Mus musculus: one gene and its partner. The protein of the gene in region 2 purifies or fractionates together with the protein of the main gene of each other region. This does not show direct contact. Links are inferred from orthologs where the notes say so. Each region holds a gene or a part of one and is shown on either strand. Other genes may lie near its edges.

Evidence for each region. The genes of interacting proteins can lie anywhere in the genome.
Region 1: the proteins of Mecom (region 2) and Suv39h1 purify together in Homo sapiens (affinity purification with western blotting; 3 studies listed by BioGRID). This does not show direct contact. The link is inferred for Mus musculus from reciprocal best matches to the Homo sapiens genes MECOM and SUV39H1.

The regions. Positions count from the first base shown.
Region 1 is NC_000086.7:8,071,866-8,076,201, reverse strand, and holds the start of Suv39h1 (histone-lysine N-methyltransferase SUV39H1), read left to right. Parts: upstream 1-1,441; 5' UTR 1,442-1,639; coding exon 1,640-1,658; exon of another isoform or gene 1,659-2,064; coding exon of another isoform or gene 2,065-2,086; intron 2,087-3,733; coding exon 3,734-3,879; intron 3,880-4,336. UniProt on the Homo sapiens protein: Histone methyltransferase that specifically trimethylates 'Lys-9' of histone H3 using monomethylated H3 'Lys-9' as substrate. Also weakly methylates histone H1 (in vitro).
Region 2 is NC_000069.6:29,978,116-29,981,759, forward strand, and holds part of Mecom (histone-lysine N-methyltransferase MECOM), read right to left. Parts: intron 2,843-3,644; coding exon 1,486-2,842; coding exon of another isoform or gene 1,482-1,485; intron 1-1,481.

The DNA of each region.
Region 1 (4,336 bases), on a different chromosome or scaffold from region 2:
CCAAACCTATAGGATAAACAAAGCCATTAAGATAAGGCAGGCTCCAGCTGCAGATGTAGCAGAGAATGACCTTATCTGGCGTCAATGGGAGGGGAGGCCCTTGGTCCTGTGGAAGCTCGATGCCCCAGCAAGTAAGGGGATGCTAGGGTGGTGAGGCGGGAGTGGTTTGGTGGTGGTAGGGGAGCACCCTCATAGAAGCAGGGAGGATGGAGGATGGGATAGGAGGTTTCCAGGGGGAAAATAGGGAAAAGGTTTAACATTTGAAATGTAAATACATAAAATAACCAATTTTTAAAAAAAGGAAAAAAAAAGAAAATCTAAAAAAAAAAAAAAGATAAGTCAGGGAAGCATTTCATGATAACTACTGATGCCCAAATTACTTTAAGCTGATATTTAGTGAAATGGATTTAGAAAAATAATTGATGGGCCACATTGAAGTTTGTGTAGCACGTAACTCTGTCCTCCTGCTGTGCAGTATAGGGTTTCTCATGTCTTGTTGACACTAGAGATATGAATACGTCTGTAAATCTGTAATAATTGCACTTTGCGAAATCCTGGCTCTTTCTAACTCTTCTGGTATATGTGCGTGTTACTGTGGACTGTGTACGTGTGCATACACATATGTAGGCTAGAGGTCAACAGCAGGCATCTCCCTTGATTGTGATCCATTTTCTTTTTAATTCTTATTACATTTATTGGGTGTGTGTATGTGTGTATGCAGACACATATGTAGGTCAAAGGTCAATGGTAAGCATCATCCTTGATTGATCTCATTGTATTTTTTTTAATATTAAATTTATTTGGGGTATGTGTGTATACACCTACCAAAGTGCAGGTGTGAACAGAGGACAGCTTACAGGAATGGGTTCTGTCCTCTAAGAGCAAGCTTGGGGCTCCTGTCTCCCTCCTCCAGCACTTTGTCGCTGGGTGTGGCTCTTACATGGGTGCTGACAATAATTTGTCCTGACCTAATCCCAGTCCACTTCGGGACATGGGTGGCCATTGGAGTTTGAGACGTCTCCTTCAAGGAAGATGGAGAAAGGGCTGCCTGGCTAACAATGTGATGGGGACAGTTTGAGGGAATAGCAGGCTGCCTGACAAGGGTTGTGCTTCTATGAACTCAGACGGCTGCAGGGCACAGATGGATGCTACTATTGACTGAGTGTGAATGAAGAAGCGAGTGATGGAAACGGACATCTGATGGCGGCGACCGACTTATTATTTATTTCAATCAGGTGACTGGCTGAGCACCTATATATATGGCTCTAGGTCCACCCTGGCAGTGAATGCCTGCGCGAGGTTAAAATAAATGACTGGCAGAATTGGGGTTGCACAAAACAAGCCCTTTATGACTGGCTGACGCCGCGATTGGCTAGCAATATGACTGACAAGGGGCGGGTCCTGGAGCAAAGGCAAGCTTTGCTACTGCGCAGGCGCACTCTGAATAAAGGCAGCGAGCACGGGCTCTCGAGACCACTCCTGGTGACGGGAGGAGTCCAGGCACAGCTCCGCGGTTGGTCCGAGCCGGAGCTGCGAGCGGCGAGGAGCGGCCAATCGACTGCGCGTCCCCGGCCACGCCCGCGCGCGCTCTCTTCTCGCGAGGCCGGTTAGGCCCGAATGTTGTTAGCTGTGGAGAAAGATGGCGGAAAATTTAAAAGGTGAAGCTGTGGTGCTAGAGACGCGAGCTACTGGCCCGGCCGAGTAGAATGGAGGGAAGGTGGCCGGGGCTCCAGGCCAGGCGTCCGGAGCTACGGAGCCTGGAGCTGGAAGGCCGGCGCGGCAAACGTGGGGGCCGAGAGCGCGGGCCCGGCGCGCGGGCAGGGCGGGGCTGAGGGGAGGGGGCGCGTGCTTCGGCCGCGGGGGGCGCGGGGCTGCGCAGGCCGCGCGCGGGGTTTCTCGGCCGCGCGCGGCTGGCCGGCGCGCCTACGCGCGTGAGAGAGAGTCCTGAAGGAGAAGGTTGCGGCCACGCGCGGGAAAAGGCGGCTCTCAGTGACCGTTACCCTTTCGGTTTCCACGGGAGACGCCGGAAGGGGAGGAAGAAGTGGAACGGACCCCCTTCTCAAAATGGGGGAGCCGGCGACTCTAGGTGGGAAAGGGATCGAGGCGAGATGGGGGCAGGGTTTTCGGGTAGACGAGTCTCCCCGGAAAGCGGGACTTGGTGGGGGGGCCTCGGTGAGAGGAGGGCTCGGCTCCTCCATGTGCAGGAAAAGAGGGGTGACTTGTGCGTGCTGGGCGGGCTCCTCGGCCTCGAGTAGAGCGCTGAGAAGAGATTCCACAAGTGTGAGCCGGAGCTGCGGTGGGGAGGAGTGCGGCTGCTGGCACTGCAAATGGTATTTGCAGGCCACTTCTTGGGGCTTTCAAAGGCGTTCCAGACGCAGGTTAGAGGCTCCGGGAACCGAGAGGCCTCGGAGGAGAGGGATTAGTCTCTGCTGGGCCTTGGATAAAAAAGGATCAGTGTATATGTACGCAGTGATCTTTTTTTCTTTTGAAGTGTTTGTGTGTTCTTAGGTTACCATCTAGAGCATCTTATTAGGATTGTTTTAGATTTGAGTCGTATGATGGGAGGAGAAAAAAACCATCCTTAAAAGATGGCATTGGCTACTGACAGCATACACCTAGCATCAAGTGGTTTTGTGACATATTTTGATTTTTTAAAAATGGCTTCTAAAATTACGTTGAAGAAGGGATGTGCTCTGAAGCAAAAAAATGTGTATACTTTAAATCCGCTTCTCTTGAACAATAATTTTGGTGACCAAGAGTCATTGTCGGGGCTTACCTACCACATGTATTGTTTACATGTTCCTGAATTGAGAGCAGATCCCTTCGAATTGAGTTGTACTTTTCACCCCCGAGACAGGGATTTTTTTTTTCCTTGAGACAGACTACGGCTGTCCTAGAACTCAGAGATCAGCTTGTCTCTGCCTTTCCTGGGTCTAAAGGTATGCACCACTATGCCCAGTTTAATGTAATATCTTTCTACAATCTTTATAATTACAAAACCTAAAGTCCTTTGAAATAAAAGTCTTTCTTAAATGTGTCACTAATCATGGCAAGGGATTTTTAAAAGTGAAATTATTCAGTGAGAATATTTAATGTGAAAAATCAAGGCTTTTGCTATAGATGTGTTTGCTGTTAATGTGTTTTGAGTATAGATGGCTTAATGTCCTATGCCAGGAATTCGCCTAAAATTACTTGTGTAAAATTCCCAAATGTTTGAATTCCAAAATCCAGTGGCCCAGGAGTTTCAGATAAGTGAAGACTTTATAGCAACACCTCTGTTTGTTGCCCTAGGGATTTTTGTCCTACCCTGACTCTCTTAGTTAACGCACCCCAGTCTTTTGCAAAGTGCAAAGAGCATTGCTTAAGGCTCTGACCGAAGGTAAGTCTGCAGGCAGCTTAAGGCCTTGGATGTTCTGCCAGTGGATCCCTTTATGGACGGGCCCATTGCTACAAGCGCCACTTCATCCTTGCCATTCCAGAGTTAGGGGGCCAGAGTTTGGAGTAGAAGATTCTCCCAGATGAGGGCATAGGTCCTCTGATAGGAGAACTGGACCCTTCCATGTGCAGGGAAAGACAGGTTGATGCTTCCTGGTGTGTAGGCTTATTTCCAGGTGTTGCCCTGAGAATTGAGCATTAGGGTTCAAGGAATTGGCACTTCCTGTTGCAGAGGATCTTAGCTTTGGGTAAGGCCCGTCGATTACATTTTTGTGAGTCTTTGGCCTTCTCATTCTAGGTTGCAGTGTGTGCTGTAAATCTTCTTGGAATCAACTGCAGGACCTGTGCCGACTAGCCAAGCTTTCTTGTCCTGCCCTTGGTGTTTCTAAGAAGAATCTGTATGACTTTGAAGTTGAATACCTGTGTGATTATAAGAAGATCCGTGTAAGTCTGGTGTGAGTGTGTGTGTAGAGAGAGAGAGAGAGAGAGAGAGAGAGAAAGACAGATACTACACTGGCAGGGGACCCTCTTCTCCACCAACCCCACATCTGTTTGCAAAGAGGATTTTTCTCCTCTGATTCTTCCTGGGGGGAAATAGAATGAATTGACCCTCTTATTTCCATTTTACAGGGAGGGAAATAAAGTGGCTTTCTCAGAGAACAAGAGGCAGAATGAATCCTCCAATGCATGTTTGTTTCCACCTAGAAATACAAAACTAGTTACCAAGTTGATACTTTGTGCCTAAGAGTGGAAGTAAAAGATGGCAACAGGTAGAGTGCCCAACCATAAACAGTTACTGATGCCACAGAAGTAGTAGCAGGATAGTTAGAGGAGCCCACTGAAAGTAGCATGCTTAGTTTAAATGTAGCCTTCATTTTCTGTCTATAAAATGGGAGGGGCT
Region 2 (3,644 bases):
AGGCTCATGTCAAGAACAAATTTGGAAAATGCCATTGAAACATAATAGCTGTGAACTCACGACATTTTACTCATACTGTATTTTAGATCTACTATTTTACTTACTGAAGTGAGCAATAAGAGGTCCATTTCAGAGTGAAAATTCTGGAGGCTGCAAGGCTAAGCTGTACCCTGGGCCTGGCACTAACACTAGGCTTTGGGGTTTTTCATGACACTTTGCCTCTTAAAAAAATGAAAGGTCTGGAGCCATAAAACTGAAGTCAGCAGGCATGGGCTGAGGAAGGTCAGAGGTGATGAAGATGGCATAGTGGGTATTCTATCAGTGCTGAAACATGACCACTGGTAGCACAAGAACATTTTACATTGTCTTCGTTTTCCCCCAGATATGGTCTTGTTACATAGACTCAAGCTAGCCTCAAACCTGTGATGCTCCTGCCTCAGCCTCGGGAATGTGAAGATTGGCCCATGTTATCGTGCTCTTGTACTGGGCTCTTCTGTTTCTCTTGTTGAAATGGAGACAGTCTTTAGCACACTAGCAAACTTTAGAAGAAGACACTGACAAGGACTTTCGGTTCTGGCACTGACTAAACTAGAGGCTATTTATCAGTATTACTGACTGAAAGAGTAATGCCAAGTTTCTTCATTAAGAAGCACTAGGCACACTATGAAAATGATCCGATCCTACATAAATTCAATTAAAAAGTCCACATGTTCCACAAAGTCTTGAGACTATTCAGAATTTGAATTTCAGAGTAAATTGAAAAGTCCTATTCTCTGTAAAAGGCATAATAAATATGATGGTTAAAGAAAATTAAAATTCAAAAACCAAATCGTTTTTTTTGTGGTAATTGTTACAATATATTGTGTAAAACACATTCTATGAAACGTATATGATTTACCTATAGAATGCTTACACATACTAAAGGAAACTAAGTAATGATGGGATTAAATAGATTTATTTTAAGCAACTTACTCATTAAATAGAAAGCCATTTTGTGATTACTATTTCACATACTTGGGGTTCTAAGAGATCTATTTAGAAAGAGAATGCATTTAGTACACACATCAATATATACCATTGGGTTAACAAAGAGAAGACAGGCCGTTCTAGGTCTTGTGTCATTCTAAATAAGCAACCCATTTACACGCCCACGCATATCAGTGCTAATCCTTCAGGAGCCTTGCTTTAAAGATGACTTTCTCATATTTTCCACTTCCTGACAATGTTTGAAAATAAGTGTATTGTCGAAATAAAAAAAATCCTGTGGGTCTATTCCAAAACCTCAATTTCAGAGACATCCAAAAATAAGTCCAAATTAATCTGTCAATTTCCGAATTTAAGAATATGAGTTCATTTGATTAAACCTCATAATCACAAGGAGGAGGGGTGGAGATCTGGGAGATCATAGGGGATCTGGGATGACATAGCATACAACCCGCACTTCACACATCTGTCTCATCCACTGTCTCTTCCCATCATCCTTACCTATAAATGGGGTCCATGAAGAAGGGAGTGGGTCTGGCATGCTGCAAGGAGCCATCTGAAGATGGCCTAGTATCCATGTTGCTTCCTTTCTTTTCCCCAAACACATGGTTTTTTCGAGGCTCAGTCAACTTTGTCCCACTGGCTCTACCCCTACTGCCCATACTTAGATCCAGGGGCTGGTCTTGGCTTGTGGCTGGTGTTCCTGAAGGCTTCGAGGGGCCTGAAGTCAAGGGCTTCTCATCCTTTCTCTTAGTGGTGAGGTCAAAAGGGGACTCAGAGCTTCCCTTCTGCAGTTTCTTAACTTCACTTGGTGATTGGGGCTCCATTTTCAAAGGTAACGACCTCAAGTCTCTATCAGGAAATGGGTACATTGATTGAGAGAATGCTGGAAAAAACGGGAGGGGAAACATGGAAGGGTAAGGTAACGCTCCAACTTTTTTGTCTTGCAGCCCCACCAGTCCTGTAGAACCAAAGTATTTTTCAGCAATAGACGCAATAGCCTTTATAGAATCATTCACAGCTCCTGACACGGCACTTTGCTCCTCTACAGATGCTGAGAAAACGGAATGATTGTTGTGTTCTTTCTTATTAGTTATCGAAGCCAGATTCTGCAGAGGGCTTACTTTGTCTTTGAACATTTTACCATTTTCTTTACATTTCTCTTTATCACTTTCAAGGTCACTTTCCAGATCAGAGCCCGAGGTTGTTTCCAGGTCACTGCCACTTGGTGTACTGACATCATCAAGGTCACTACTCTCTGACTGGTCACTGATTTTCTCAAGGGGCCTCTCTTCAGAGGACCTCTCGGGCAGCAGTTCCACTGGCTTATTGTCCCCTACAGGTGGGTGTTTAGATAGTGCCTTCAAAATATCCTGTGTAGCTGGCAGTATCTGAGGATGTGTCAAGAGGGGACTTTGACATTTGTTTGACTGTTCGGTACTTGATAATCCTTTAACAGGAGGACTAGCGGGTATCAAAGGAGGCCTGTGGTATAAGCCCGAAGGAAACAGACCAGGAAAGCTAAAGGAAAATCCAGGAGCTGTTGGAAAGGTAAGACCAGCAGGATGCCTATTGGTGCCAAAATAGTCAGCCAGGCCCGGGTTGGCATGACTCATATTAACCATGGACGTTTTATCCATAGCTGGGGTTCCAGGAAGTGAAATGCCTTGGCCAAAAAATCCACCTGCCGCAAAATGGTTCTTGCCCTCACAAAACCTCCTGTGTTTATTTAAGGAAGACGTAGTGCTGAACATTTGTCCACAGTCTTTGCACTTGATTTGGGTTCTGCAATCAGCATGCATGCGCTTATGACGACAAAGGTTTGAAAACTGAGTATAGGATTTATGGCAGACCTCACCTGTGTGCAAACAACAAAAAAGAGTCTCAGGCTTTATGACAATTGCTTCTGGATGCAGCAAGTAGCACAAGTGGTTTACCCAGAATAGTTTCAATTAGGAAGCCAGGAATAGAAGTTGGGAGTCAGCGATCTGGATGCTCAGGACACAGAAAATGCCATTTTACTAGATTCCAAAGCAAGGCATCCAACCTGACAAATGTCTACAAAGCAGCACAAATATTTCACACAGAGAATGTAAACCTTTCCCACCCACCCACCCCCACTGCACAATATTTTTCATAATATTTGTATGTTTAAATATTGATGAAAAAGACACAGCCCAGAATGCATTGCTTCTCCCACCTGCTTCCTAACACTAGCAGACTCTGAAAAATTAAAGATATGTTTAGCACAAACACTTCAGAGCATTGAAAACATTCTGCACTGTATACACCAAGACAGGGTAAACAGCCTTCCCCATATCCACAACCTTCCCCTTTCTCCCCTCTCCCTGTGGGGAAGGGCTGGAAGCTGTTCTCCCACTATTTCATCAGCGTTATATCATGCACTCTCATCGTTCACACATCAAAGCCACACAACAATGCACATTGTGTATTGGGAGACCCTTTTAACAATCATTTTCATGATTTGAGAAAGACTGACATAATTTACAATGGCTCTATTTTAAGCCTGCGGAGGAAACTAAATTGAATGTGGCCCATCCTGGATTGCTGGTTCCCATGAACTATGAGCACGTCCTCTGACTTCCTCTCACACCGATGGCTGTGGTAACCTTCCTGCAGATGAAACCCCCATCCTTGGG